Linked DNA regions of Schizosaccharomyces pombe. The protein of the gene in region 2 purifies or fractionates together with the protein of the main gene of each other region. This does not show direct contact. Each region holds a gene or a part of one and is shown on either strand. Other genes may lie near its edges.

Region 1 (6,327 bases), on a different chromosome or scaffold from region 2:
ATATTTGATTGCTTCCAAATCATTTCCATGCTTGTCAAAAAGCTCTCTGCGTGGAACTGATAAAGCAGATCTACAGACTTCCTTGATATATGAGCCAGACAGTCCAGCAGTGGCATTAACAACTCCATTCCAATCAAAGTTCGCTTCTAACGGTACCTTTTTTAAATAAAGTTCTAAAATCTTGCGACGCTGTTCGGCATTTGGAAGAGGTATGGAGAATACTTTAGGCATACGACGCCGAATGGCCTCGTCGATGTCAGCTGGTCGATTAGTAGCACCCAAAACAAGAACCCGTGACTGACCACTCAATAAACCATCCCACATCGACATAAATTCAGCTTTAATTTGAGCCATTGCTTCATGGTCTGTCCTTTGGCGTTGCCGCAAGAAAGTATCAATTTCATCGATAAATATTATAGTAGGCTCAAGCTTACGAGCTAGTGTGAATAATGCGTCCACAAGCTTGTTTGATTCACCGAACCATTTGTCTGTTAAAAGGCCCACACTCACATTTATAAATGTAGCTTGACTTTGCTTGGCTAATGCTTTAGCTAGCATTGTTTTACCACATCCAGGAGGCCCGTACAAGAGTAAACCCTTTGGACACGACAAAAGTCCGCCATGGGTGTCAAACACTTCAGGGTATTTTAAAGGAAAAAGTACATCTTGCAAAAGCTGATTAACATGTTCATCCATACCTCCAATATCATCAAAGGAAACATCGATTTCGCTGGGTAGAACGAGCTGTGATGCAACAATCTGCTCATACTCATTTAATTCCAGAGTCTCCAATTCCTTGACTTGTTCCCCAGCCCACTCATCAAGTCGCTTACGGCTTTTGGAAACTGTATCCTGCCTTTTTTGTCGATACGGATCTAAAGTAGACAAAAGTTTATGTGCTGCGTACCAAGAGCAACCAAATGCTAAGGCATAGACAACGATCTCTTTAATTGCCCTTTTAGTCGTCGGATTCATAATCAATTCCCCAGTAATAAACTTCAAAATGCAAGCACACAAAATTTTATGCAGTAAATTTGTCTGGTGGCACGCTACTACTATTGGGGCGGTTGGTATGTTCAGCTAAATGGGTAAAGAAGATATACAAAGTTGATCGTACTTTGCTACATTGTTTGGAAAATATATTCATTGAAAAAATTATTTTTAAATAAAAAATTTTCATTTTCCTAAAGAAACAATCCCAATGGTTTCAAAGCGCAGTTATCAATTATCAAAAGTGGTAATGTAACAATAAATATTTACTCTCTGTGCCAAAAGATTTGGTTATAGATGAAATAACAATTAGTAAACAATAATAATTAAGCAGAGATTTTTTCTGAGTAAATAACCCATTGAAAAATGAGAATAAAAATGGAGCGAGAAACCTTTTAGGAGATTTGGATATACTTATAAATATCCAAAAGGGAACCTAACGGAACTATATACAAAACAATAAAGGACATATCAAGACTAAATCGCTATGCCCGTCCAGTGAAGCTCACTGTTTAACATATCCTAAACGGAAAAACCATTCCTATCATTCGTAAATTCACGAAAATTTTTAAATTATATACAATTTTTTCCTCCTAGGATTTATTTGGCCTTGTATTGAGTCGAACTTGACGACGAAGGATTTTCACCTTCACTAGCAATGCCTTCTTCTGAATCAGATTCGGGATTACTAGGAGGATGCAATATAGACTGTAGGTGGTTCATTTGCTTTAAAGTTTCATCAAAAATATCTTTTCTCAAATTCCATGCTTTTACATAATTCGCGTTTTCTTCTTCTAACTCACGAATAGCATCTTGCAACTTTCCTATTGATCTGTAAACCCGGTCAGTCTAAAATATTCAATATAAATCTGGAAACTTACTCTTGTTGTTCTGTTCTTGATCTCAATCCTTTTGACATTATTGGCTTGGCCAACTCGTCGTATTGTTCACGCTTTCTTAATTCTTCTTGGGCAACTAGTAAATCTTGCTCAAGCTGGCTTATTTCGGTTTTTTCTGCTTCACAAAATGTTTCTGAAAATATTAATAAAAACATCACTGTACTTAAAGTTACGAATTTAATCACATACGAGTCTTCTTCAGTTCTCCTTCGTAAACATCCACTTCTTTAGCATTCATGTCTAATTGCATTTGCAATCGAAGCCAAAAAGCAGAGAGAGCAGAAAATTCAATTTCTAAATCCCTTAAGTTTGCTTCGTCTACATTTTGAGCAGCAAAACCAAGACACCGACTAATCAACCGTTTCAAAGGCCGTTCTTCCACAGTTAAGCGCGATCGAATCGCCGTCTCTGACATATCGGTTAACTTAATATTTTCAAAAAAAAAATTATTTATAGCATACCCTCCATAATGAATTGAGTAAAAAAAAAGCAAATTCACTATACAATTTAGTTGGGCGCTAAGTCAGTAGCTGGAGTGTTCGGAGTTTTAGTCACCGTATTTTACCGATGTTTACCGGCAAAAAGTTATTAGTACGATTATTACCTAAGAAATGTAAAAACGCTAACAAGGATTGCAGTTTGATATTGCTATAGAACAGGCGGGCAAAATGATTTTACCTCTTTTTCCAGAGACACAAGTTCATGTTTTTGTATATGAAAATGTTTCTAACTGTGCTGCGATTCATGAACAACTAATAAGCCAGAATCCCATTTATGACTATGCGTTTCTCGATGCCGCTACTATTCTATATAAAAAGCAGGTTTATAGCGCTATTATTAGGGCTCTCGAAGATAGAAGGGACGAACAAATGAAAACTAAGACGATTCACTCAGAGGTTATTTTGTCATTGTCCCCAAAAACCGAAATTTCTAGTGCGTTCCGACAATTCAGCATGACAAAAAAATCTAAAAACATTGTAGTGGTAAAAATTGATAGCAAACTTACAGAAGAAGAAGAATTTGAGCGCTTGGACAAACTTGTGGAAGGTAATAGGGTCGAATTTTCTGACGAAGAGTTACAAAAATTAATAGACTTCAAGGTGTTAAAAAAGAATTACAAATTGGATCCCTCTACGCTTGAGAATCCTTTGGCCTCTATATTATCTTCGATAGCTCTACGTGGTTATTCTTAAAAACATATGTTCTAGCAAATCTGATCTTTTGTCAATGTTTCACAATTGATTTGACTATTTTTCTATGCGGCTTGAATGATAATGATGAGAGTTCCAAATGGAACGTTGTGTGGATTCTTCTATTCCTTATAATTTTTTCCTCTCTCAAATGACTGTACAAACTATTTAGCAAGCACCTACATAATCAATTTTTGATTTACGAATTGGTAAAGGATGGCACGTAAAGTTATGCCCTCTGGTTTGGTTCAGTTTTATGATCTCTTGACAGTTTTACTAAAGTAACTAAGGGCATTTCATTACGATTATCTGTTTCGATACTTTTACCTAGGGAATGCTTTAGTGTTATTTGACATCATGTTTTGTTCTTGTGCAATATTTTTTGCTCAGGTCTATTGGCGATGAATTACTATATGGTGGATCTCAGTGCAAAAAGTTTACCATTATGTGAATAGTTATTAAAAGTTTAATGGGATTATAAATTAATGGGTTTTTTATTGCGCACCTTATGCTCCTGTTATAAAGAAAAGCAGGTCGCAAAGGTAAGAACTATTTTTATACAACAATAAAGGTTTTTACATCGTATGTTTTACAATTAACTGGCAGCTCTTTGTCAAAATTGTTTATTTACGGATTTAACTTGCCTTCTTGCGGTATTGACTGCTAAGCCGGAATTTGTGATATCAAGCCATCCGTTTCCCAGTCACGCGAAAACTCTTCCTTATGGAAATTTCATTTTAACAAGTACAAATCTGTTAAAACTACATTCATATAATCATATGCAGGCAGCCGATTAGAGAAAAACTAAATTTCTTAGGCAGAATTGTCATTATCCGTCAATACCGCGTTTTTTTTATTTTCCGCTTTGATTTTTTTTATCATTCTTTTTGGTTCTTTTATTTTTGTTTTTATTTGTTTTGTTTTCTTTTTTTCCTTTTCAAAAGTCATTTGAAGACAAAAACTCAACGTTGAAGAGAGCATTTGTTCATCTGTTGACTTTTCGCCAATACACCTGTTTTTTTATGGACTTGCTAAGTATAGTGTAAATTTAACGCTGTCGTTGATCCGTATGATTTCTTTTGATTAATTTAAATCGTTATATGTGACACTAGCAATTTTTGCTTCATGGCGGAAGAGACTGAAGAGGATTATTTAGTTGTGGGTCGTGATTACTTGTACCCCCCAGATCATGAACTGCACTATGGGTTTCATGCTCGTGTGATTGAAGAGGAGGAGGAGCGATTTGTAGATGATACCTTTGATGAAACAATCGAAGGATCGGATGACTCCGAATCAATAGATGATACGGAAGTATTTTACGATGCTGAAGAATCTGAAAGCACTCACCCTTCTGCTTCTTTCAACGTCCTTGCTGACGCCGTTGCGCTTTATGATTTCGAGCCCCTCCATGATAATGAACTCGGTTTTACTACTGGTCAGAGACTTTGTATTTTGTCGGAATCCAGCGATGGTTGGTTGATTGCATACGATGATGCCTCAGGAAGAAGCGGGCTTGTTCCTGAGACGTTTGTTAAATTAGAGGTATAAAAGAGCGTTGAATTGAACCCTTTTTACTTTTTCTTTTTGTCAAATTGATTTTAAAATGTTATTCCTTATTTTATGTTCCAAGATTTTCTGGATCCTCTCCTTTATATATAAGAATCCGAAGTGTTACGGGAAAAAAATTCGGATTGTCACGCTTCTTATGAATATTATTTAAATGTACGCCTTTAAAGCAACTATCATACAATTCTCCTTTGGGTAAATAACTAACCTTGGGATGTGTCGTAACTTGGGACTTATTTTTGATTTGTTATAAGGATGAAATGAATGTTCTATCTTATGGACCTTACAAGAAAAACTATAATATTGTCAAATATAATCATATGAGATGAGTTAAGCTACATAAAACTCTTTGAAACTTTATTTTATATTATTGCAACCTTCTAATAACTTTACATCTTCTTATCCAAAGAAGAAGGGTTAGAATGTACCGTGTTTTACGGAAGTTCCATTCCCGTAGGGTTACAATGTGTTGCTAGAATAAACCGTAAGTCATAGTACATATAGAGGCCAATTCTGTAAACTTTTTTAAAGTCTATGGAAAACCCTCTATGTGTCTCCAATAGAGAACGGACATCTCTTTCTGATTAGTATATACGTTTTCATAGTCTCTTCATCCTGAGGTAAATTGTACAAAACGCTGTAGTTAAACATGTGATCGAGTTAAATAGATATCTTCATAGTTCAATATACCATTAGATTTTTTTAAACAAAATCATAACGAGTACGAGGTCGTTTTGGAGAAATAATATCTGCAAATGCTGAACGTTTTCTTGGTGTGGAAGGATTGGAAGACGAGGATCTTTCATTTAATGCTTCCTTGAACCAAGTCTTGTCATTCAATAAAGACTTTTGATCACGAATAATGGACATTAACGATCCTGGACTAGTGTCGGTTTCTGACTCGAATAAGTGATGATTGATAAGAGGAAACCATACCATCTTGGCAATCGTCTCTGGTGGAGTAAGCCAAAGGGTCCAATTCCATTCTAAGAAAATATCTTTAGCTATTTTTGAGGTACAGAAAATTTTTAAAGATCCCTCGTCATTTGAGCCTCGTAGTTGAATTCTACTTTCAGAAGAAACATTCACCAGCACTTCAGCCAGTACATCGACTAACGTTTCAAACGTTTGAAATGGATCGATAGGACATCTTTCGCTCTGTTTAAAAGTTAATATAACTCTTGGTTGAGAGAAAGGTGTTAATTTGGTTGCATTTATAACTGCTTTTCCCCTGAAAGCATAGTAGCAATGTAGTTGTTAACTAATCTTACCTCTGCCTGATTGACGATTTGATTGCGGCTACATGTACAGGACCAAACACGCACTAGGTCTGTAATATGAATGACTTGTACAGCCTCATTACTTTCTGCGTCGAAGCTAGCCTGTATAAAATGAAACCTGTGGCCACGTAGCTGCACCCAAGACATCAAGTATAAACAAATGCAATGTCTTGTTCAGTATCTCAAATTGATTATAACAGCAATTCAATTGAAAATATTAAAGCTAAATCACTAAAATAGAAGAAATAAGCTCAGCAATGGTCACAGTTGAGAATTCGAGTTTGCAAAGTAGTATTGGTATTGATGAGAAAATTAAACAACCGATATATGCCAGAGTAAACAATAACTATGCCAAGTTATTCTTTAAACTTTAGAATGTGAAAATTAGATCAATTGGAATGC
Region 2 (9,207 bases):
AATAAGCATCATGGGTGCCAAATTCGCCAATGTTCTCCCACTTCCTAAAACACAGCCAAAGGCTAATTCATGTGCTCCTAACGTTGGGAAAATATAATCCCCATTGCCTAGAATATCACCTTCTTTGAGCCTAATGGAATAGTTAGCAAATTCATTTCAAGTAAACACCTTACCTATTTTTATCAATATCCAATGGAAGTTGCATTTTACGTTCCTCACGAAGGTTTGGGAGAGAATACCAATTCACCGAAAGATCAGAATTTACGCAAACTACGGAACCCATGTGTTTGGAAACAGTAGAAAGCACAAGAGCTGCTCGACAACAAACAGGTTTTCTCCAATCCAGGTTACCCACTTGATTATTAATTTTATTAAAAACAGAAATTCCTGAATCGCCAATATACACGAGGAAAACTTCCTGTGGTAAGGGATATCCAACGCTTTGTAATGAGGATCCAGTGGCTGTCGCGATCTGGCCATCTTGAGTTAAAGAGCATATTTTATAAATGTTCTTAATATCTAATTGTCGAGATGATTCAAAATAAGCAGAAAAGCGCCCTGAAGAGGAAGGGTCTATACGGAATAAAAGTGTCATCCCTCTATATGTTCCTGTGACTACGTAGATTGAGGAAGGGCTTCCTTTAGGGTTCATAACGACAAACTCGGCACTCGTAAGAAAATCGGGATCAGGTTTTCCTCTTCTCTCTAATCCAAGCTCCGAGATGCTGGTGTTACACAGTATATGGGGGCCACGCATGTCGATGATTGTAATTCCACCATCCTGATATCCTATACAAACAAAACCAATATTGCTCATTTGGTTCAATGTTACTCTTCCTCGTTTAAGATCAATATAATATTGAGCATGTAATGTTCCCTCTAGAACTAAGGTATCGTCCAAACGATATATTCCGTTAGCGAGCTGAGCTGGTAAATTTTCTTTATGATTTTTCCTTTTGCAAACAATGACACGCCCAAAACTATCAGCACAACTGAATTCTGGATTATAAGTGGAAAAAGAGGCAGTAGTTATAAAAGCTGAAGGCGTGAGATGCTTTCGCATTACAGAAGAGAAATCCAAATTTACGCAGAGAGATGGATTCATAAAACCCTGAGATATATCCCAAATCGATAAACTAAGACCAGTCGATGTTATAAGTAGATTACGCTCATCTAATTTCTTAAGATAGCCGGGACTAGGAGATCCGCCAAAAAGACAGGAGTAATGTGAATTAACGGAAATAGTATCTTCAATTTGATTCCAAACTTTTTTTGTTACAGTTTGAAATGCTATAACTCGAAAATCTGAAGCAAGGAAGCATAAAGAGGGGGGAATAGAAAGGCTCATGTTTGAAATATTTCCAGTAGAAATGTCGAGCAGCGATAACGAGTTGTCTTCCGAAAGAAGGAGAAGATTCTTGGGATTATGAGATCCATTGTAATGTGGTGAGCTAGAAGGAATCACCAGCATATCACGTACAGGGGGGATGTCAATAAAAGGAAAAAAGCGTTGTGAGTTTGGATTTGCGAAAAATTCCGCAAATGTTTCAACATCCTTTTTGGCAGGGAGATTTCGATAACTGAACAATGAAATTCCCTTTACCGGTGCTTCTTTCGGCAAACCACCTAACATCAAAATAAATGAAACTGTTGGGTCTTCACAACAACACCACCTCATAGACCTAATGGGCTCAAGCTCCGTCTTAGGAGGATTTCTCTGCATGGGGGTATACGTGTGTATGTTTGAATCGACAAAATTTCGGACTTGTACAGGATATTCTTGATCCACATCCCAGAATGCAAAAGTCGAATCAGTATAGTAACTAACAAAGTGATCACCCCAAGGACTCCACTCTATCCCTTTGACTATAGGTCTTCGATAATTATGGGGTGATAAAACTGCAGCTGTACTACCTGGTGCATACTCCAATTCATAAAAGCGTATAACTTCGTCAGTCCTTATTGAGTACAAAACAACGCCATCCGGATATGCAATCAAAATCACACCGAGATCCTTCGGGTGAATCTGAACGCTTACAACTGGGGATAGCTTTCCAGGAACTGGTGCATAAGAGTAGCCTGAAAATTAGTAATAAATTCAAATAAACAACAATGACCTCAACGTACCCATCATTCGCCATTCCTCGTGTCTTGGGACATACAAATTTGGAACTTTGAATTTTCCAAGGCAATGTCTAGTAACATCCCATGGCACAACGGAGCCATCACTCATTCCAAAAAAAACCCAATCAATAGTAGGATCCGTTACGGTACATGTAACTTTTTGCTTGAGAAAGTAAGTGGCAGCTGGTTTTGAAAGGTCACGATGTTTCATCAAGGGATAGCTTAAGACCGTATTTCGAGAGTCAATTACAATCAAATACGCCGCACAAAGGGCTATATGGACAATGGTTGAACAGTCTGGAACTATCACACTCTGGACATGCTGTTTACCGTAAATGTATATCCGATTAGTACTAGATACAATAGCTAGTAAGCCTTGTTGATGGTCTAAACACCATAATACTGGATTTAAGGAAAACCCAAATCGATTCAACTAATCTTTGTTATTAAACATTCAACAAGCATTGCTTCCCTACTTACGTCGTCTATCGATAGTGAAGCATTTGAAGACGTATGGGTCTTCAAATTGGATTTGGATAAAATTTCTTTTCCCTTACTTAGCTTTTTTTTAAAAAAGCTCATATTTTCCCAATTCTTGGTATAAATATACTAATCATGTTATACCCTCGTAGCATATACAAACTCACGCTCAACTCGTGTTAGAGAACGCTATTTTTGGATAACGTCTTGTGCCGTTAAACCAATAATAATGTAAGCTACGCAGTTTGGTATCTGATTTAAGGATACGTAAACTGCGGTGAGTTTTCCTTGTAACCTATTATATTACAATAAACAGGTTGTATGAGTAGCAACTGAGTATTGTATTAACTGTGTTATAATGTTACCTATCACTAATATAGCTCATAACTGAACTGAGGAACGAGGTTCAGTTGTAACGCTATTTATAATATTTCTAAATAGTTGTTATCAACTGGTAACTAGTATATAGATGGATAGTTACCCGTGATTATCAATAAACGGATCTTAGCTAGTATTCCAACATATGACATATAGTGATACACAACGTAGTGTATCATAGCGTAATGTAGTATTGCTGACAAATAATGAGACTTCTAATTTTATCCTTATAGCACTGAATTCGACTTTGCATCATTCACTAGTCAAACCGCAAGCGATTTTGAGCGGGCCTAAAGCCAGACACCAAGCTGGAGATTGCTTGGTTTACCCGTGAAGGTTTATAGAATCGAAATATCAGTTTTACATTGATAAAGTATCTATTTTTAATTCTCTATTATTTTCTAACAGGCTTCTGTGGAATTGGCGGTATCATACGGGCTGCATGTCAAAACACATGGGAAGTCTTTTTGCAATATCTTTAAACCCTGAGTACTAGTGATTCAACATTTCTCTCCTTTCTTAATATTTTATTTACCTGCAAGAAATTGGGCTATTACTAACATCCCAAGTCTGTCTTTTGCAAATTAGTTCACTCGTTTCAGCCGAATCTTAATTTTTTTAATCATAAACTACTTAAGCAGCAATCTCCAATTCGTTTGACAAAAAAAAGGTTTTTTATCTTGAATTCTTTTCAAAGTAACTAATACTGTTCTGGGTATATGGCTGCCGATATCGGATCGCAGTCATCAGGCTCTTTGGAAGAACGGTTTGAACAGTCTCTTCATCTTCAGAATGTCGATAAGCAAGATTGGTCACTTAACAGTGTACTTCAGTTTTTAAAACTATACAAATTTAACAAAGAATGGGAAGACGTTTTTATTAAAAGTCGAATCGAAATGGATTTATTTATCAATTTGGCCGATCAATCAAAAGCCGAGGAATTCGCCTTTAAAAATAAATTGAGCAAGGAGTCTGCCATCCAATTGAGTAGCTGTATTCGCAAAACACTTTTAGCACCTTCTTCGACTCGCGTACCTAGCAAAAACTCGTCTTACGAAACATTAACTTACAGCGCCAAAGATAGTTCGGATGACGTTTTTACAGAAACTAACTCTGGTTTCCGCTCTTCAAATCAAAATTCGTCCCTCAAAAGCTTTCAGAGTGTTCCTGATAGCAATGTGAACGTGTTTGGTGGCTTCGGTGGATCAGTAGTCGACAACAATGAGCTATTGAGCACAGGAAAAAACTCCCATCAAACAACCTCTTTAAATTTGGAAGGCTCTCCTATAAACTTACACGCTTACAAAGGAACTGTCACTTCAATAATTAACGATGACAGCAGAAACATTAATAAAAAAACATTGTCGAAACAACCTGTATCCGAACATAAAGAAAAACAAACTAGCTTTCTCCGTCGTTTCCGGGTACCTGGGTTTTCTCGTGACAAGGATAAAACTAAAGATTGCCCTTCTTCAAATTCGAACCCATTCCATTTAGCTTCTTCAAATGTGAAAACATTAGACGCGTCTTTGGATCAAGGTGAGTGGGTACCTCGTATTCATCGTTTAGAAAGTCAAATTGGTTTAATATCCAAAAAGAAGTCATTTGTTCTTGCTACTATGGATGATATGAAATTCACAGTAGTGGATATTACCAACGTCCAAAATGCTACTCAGCTACGTAAGCTAATAGCTAAGAGTATGTATTTAGACATTTCAATTGACCAGTTTGATTTGTTTCTCACGGAAGTCGGCGGGGCTCAATACATAGAAATATTAGATGATAGAAAGCTTGATATTGCAAGGCTTTATTCTGATGAATTTGGAACTATTAAATTTTTCGTAAAGCCATCACAAAATGAAGAATCGGGTATGGATAGTGATACTTATTTATCTTTTGGCACAAAATCAAGTTCAACTTATAAAGCTGATGATGACTCAATATATCATCGCAAGGAAGATTTTAAAAAGCAACCAAGTTACCCTGTGCTTACTTCGGATTTTGAAATTACTGATGCAGGACCTAATTTATCATTATCAGGGCATCAACCTGATAATAAATACTACAAAGGTTTTAGTTCGGCACCGAATTTGGCAGTTGTTCCAGAATTACCATCTCGACGTTTTCGAGGGTTTGAAAAAATCCGTGGTGCTAAAGGAGAAATGGCTACAAAAATTTTGGATGCCACTGAAGCCCAAAGTGAAAAAAACAAATTTACCGTTTGTAGACCTCACAAGAAGGTCACATTGAAAATGCCACTTAATTCCGGCTCTTCCGCTCCCCAAAGTCCTTCATCTAATACTTCTGCTTCTGTTTTAACTAGAAATTTTGTGGCACATAGAGATCCTCCACCCCCACCCACAGAGACATCTAGTTTACGTCGAAAAAATACATTGACTCGTAGACCAAGTATTCGTCACGCTCGGTCCTCTCCTTACATTGATACCGGACATAACGAAGCTAGCAAATTTTCACATACGTCTTTTGACCCCAAAGCATCTAGTAAATCTTCTAATTCATTAAAGGAAAGTGTGGAAGCTTTATCAGAAATACCTTTTGAAGATGCGCCTGCACTAGACGAATCGGATCTTTCTGGGGATCCCTTTTGGGCTATACAGCCCAAACAATCTTCCTCCCAAGTACCTAAAGAAAATCATCACAACATTCAATCCAAACTTTCCATTAACACAGAGGCTGCTACGGATTTGAAAGCAAATGAACTATCTTCGCCTAAAACTCCTGAATACTGTAGAGGTGATGACAGATCCATTAGTTTATCACCGTTATCTTATCGTTTAAGAAAGTCCAAACATATTCGTGAATCCCCACCGTCTTCAAAGGTTATCAATTCTGGTAACTGGGAAGTTCGTCCATCTGCTGATGATCTTTATGAGGATGTTGATCGATTTTTTCCCCGTTATGATTTGGATAAAGTACTTGTAGTGGACCAAAGCCGCATGGTTTCTTCCCCTTCAAAGGTATCGATACGTCCGAAAATGAAGTCTGTACGATTATTAGCCCGCGAAGCATCTGAAGCTCGGAAAGAAATACGACATAACGCGAGACGCAATAAATCTGGAAATCTTCTACGTCGATCAAGTACGAAACTTTGGGGCTCTAGGATTGTAGAACTAAAACCAGATACTACTATAACTTCTGGATCAGTTGTTTCACAAAATGCCACGTTCAAATGGATGAAAGGAGAATTGATTGGAAATGGTACTTATGGTAAGGTATTTTTGGCTATGAACATTAATACGGGTGAATTGATTGCAGTAAAGCAAGTTGAAATACCACAAACTATTAATGGCCGTCATGACCAATTACGCAAAGATATCGTGGATTCCATTAATGCAGAAATTTCTATGATTGCCGATTTGGATCACTTAAATATAGTGCAATATCTGGGTTTCGAAAAGACGGAAACGGATATAAGTATATTCCTGGAATATGTTTCAGGTGGTTCAATTGGTCGATGTTTGCGGAATTATGGTCCTTTCGAAGAGCAACTGGTCCGTTTTGTATCACGCCAGGTGCTCTACGGGTTGTCTTACTTACATTCTAAAGGTATTATACATCGAGATTTAAAGGCTGACAATTTGCTCATTGATTTTGATGGAGTTTGCAAAATTTCAGACTTTGGAATATCTAAGCATAGTGATAATGTGTATGACAATGACGCAAACCTGTCCATGCAAGGATCCATCTTTTGGATGGCACCTGAAGTAATTCATAATGATCATCAAGGATATAGTGCTAAGGTCGACGTCTGGTCCTTGGGATGTGTAGTGTTGGAAATGTTAGCTGGTCGTAGACCGTGGTCTACAGATGAGGCTATCCAAGCTATGTTCAAGTTAGGTACCGAGAAAAAGGCGCCTCCTATTCCTAGTGAATTGGTGTCTCAGGTATCACCCGAAGCGATTCAATTTTTGAATGCATGCTTTACTGTGAATGCTGATGTAAGGCCAACCGCAGAGGAATTATTAAATCACCCGTTTATGAAATGTGACGAAGAATTCAACTTTAAGGACACGAATCTTTACGACATGCTTTGTAAAAGAAAGAGCTAAATTGGTCGCAATTATTATTTATTACTTAGCGTTTCCTCGCAGGGGCATGCATTCTCAATTTCTTCTTATAGCTATTTATTTAATATTGAAATTAATTTTGAAAATTATTACATTATTATACAAACAAACATACATGATCATTTTCAATTTCTACAATGTATTTAAAAGTAAATTTTCATTTTGTCAAAATTGTTTCGTTTATTTAAAATTAAAACTGATATTAATAAGATGTACTCTTCCCGTCTGAAACCTTCCTTTTTTTGAGTTCCCTAGTATTTCGCTTTGGTAAACTTACCTTGTTAAGAGGATTAAAACCCCGTTTCCCAAATTTATTTTTTCCTACATCAGAGTCTAAGTCAGCAATAAAATTCTTTTGATTTTTATAATCAAAAGGTGCTTCATTGATAATTGGACTGTCATTAGAAACATGTTCGGCTTCAATAGTAAGTTTTCCGCTGTTCTTCTTTTTCTTCTTTTGCTTCCGTTTTTTTGACACTGAAGTTGAAGCTTCCGAAGGTTCAATATCTTCATTTCGCTCCTCTATGGGGTTTGAGGGTTCTTTATGATTAAGCTTAGAAGAATCCCTTTTTTGCTTGTTCAGCCCTAAATCCCTAATGACTATAGGCTCTTGTTTCTTCTCTCCATTCAGACTCGGGTTTGCAGCTTCAGTTACAGTGGACTGCTTTACATTCAATTCGGATTCAACATGCCCTTGAGTACAAGGAAGAGTTAATGAAAAAGGAATATTCTGGTTCACTATAAAGAGTCTCTCTTTACGAGCTTTCCGTAAATCATCTTGCGACTGTCCCTCAATCCAAAACGCAGATCCATTTGCCAGCAAAGTCTTTAGTTTACTTCTATTTTGTTTAGAAATCTCGAAAACACTGGAGTCAACTTTGTAATCACCCAAAGTATTCGATTCGGAAAAAACTGCTAGCGGTTGATTTTGCTTCTCAACTTCTTTAAATTGGGATTTCTCACGATCTACTTGCTCATTATACAACTTTTCGGCTTCTTGAACGACTTTAACGATATCTTCAACATACATGCGAGCAATTGGTGTCAATTGCTTAGAAATTGAAAACACATCAGCCGCTTCAACCGGTTTACTGGCGGCAATCGCAATAAGTAAACGATTTGGCAACACATAGCGAACACTTTCATCTTCTTTTCGGGCTACGGAATCTCTCCAATCGTGCAGTGCTCGATAAATCATCAAAGCTTCCCGTCCAATTATTTTAGAAGAGCCAAACTTAGTAAGTACATTTCTCCAGCCATCAGTACCAAGTCCATAAATAGGATCATAAGGCTCAAGTTCATACTTTCTAAGAGATATTTGTTTACTGGAATTGAACACTGATTGCATAAGATTTTCTTTTCTTTCAGCTGATTTTGATATGAGTTCATTTCGTAAATGATCCCAAATATATAACAAATAATGCGTATCAGATTGAGCATATTTTAACATTTCCCGAGGCAAAGGACGGATTCTCCAATCAGCCATTTGGTATCTTTTATCTGCATCATAATCACAATACTTTTGTAACAGAAAAGCCAGACCATGACCCTCAAATCCTAAAACTTTAGTAGCATAGTATGTATCAAATAAGTTTACAACGTAAAGCCCGAAATCTCTTTGCAGCCAAATGATATCCATAGTTGCACCATGAAAAACTTTAATGATATTTGGATTAGTAAAAACAACATTCAAAGCTTCAAGCTCTTCGCGGAGTTCCAAGGTGTCAACAATCCAATCTTTTTCTCTATTACTAATTTGCATTAGACAGACGAACCCTCTAAATGATCTGTAATCATGGTGTTCAAGATCAACGGCTATTTCTTTGCTGTTTTGTAATTCTTTTAGCATATCCGATAACTGACTTTCAGTACTAACCCAGATAGGTTCTGTTTCGTCGACAGAGCCAGTATCGATGGGATTAGACATTTCTGAAACCCATGGAGGATATACGCTATTTTGTATTTCTGGTTCATATGGATGTGGTAACGAGTTTTTGAGACTAGGGTCCAATTTGACTTGAGCGATAATCTTTTCGAGCGGTACTAACGAATGTGGTTTTTCAGTTAACTTCCAAGACCACACAAACTCCCTGGAATTATTAGGCTGTACTCGAAACCTTAATTGAGGCTTAGTAAG

The links.
Region 1: the proteins of mkh1 (region 2) and skb5 purify together in Schizosaccharomyces pombe (affinity purification with western blotting; 2 studies listed by BioGRID, with this or other methods). This does not show direct contact.

The regions. Positions count from the first base shown.
Region 1 is NC_003421.2:918,865-925,191, forward strand, and holds skb5 (Shk1 kinase-binding protein 5), read left to right. Parts: upstream 1-3,769; 5' UTR 3,770-4,204; coding exon 4,205-4,627; downstream 4,628-6,327. Other genes in the region: yta4 (ATPase Msp1), read right to left, coding at 1-975; THO complex subunit Tho7, read right to left, coding at 1,591-1,822, 1,872-2,022, 2,079-2,297, 2,351-2,357; EKC/KEOPS complex subunit Cgi121, read left to right, coding at 2,558-3,082; XRCC4-like factor xlf1, read right to left, coding at 5,348-5,803, 5,917-6,072.
Region 2 is NC_003424.3:611,343-620,549, reverse strand, and holds mkh1 (MEK kinase (MEKK) Mkh1), read left to right. Parts: upstream 1-3,274; 5' UTR 3,275-3,701; coding exon 3,702-7,052; 3' UTR 7,053-7,181; downstream 7,182-9,207. Other genes in the region: sro7 (Lgl family protein), read right to left, coding at 1-130, 174-2,079, 2,128-2,557, 2,605-2,706; exosome 3'-5' exoribonuclease subunit Rrp6, read right to left, coding at 7,273-9,207. UniProt on the Schizosaccharomyces pombe protein: May regulate cell morphology, cell wall integrity, salt resistance, cell cycle reentry from stationary-phase arrest, and filamentous growth in response to stress. Activates the MAP kinase kinase skh1/pek1 by phosphorylation.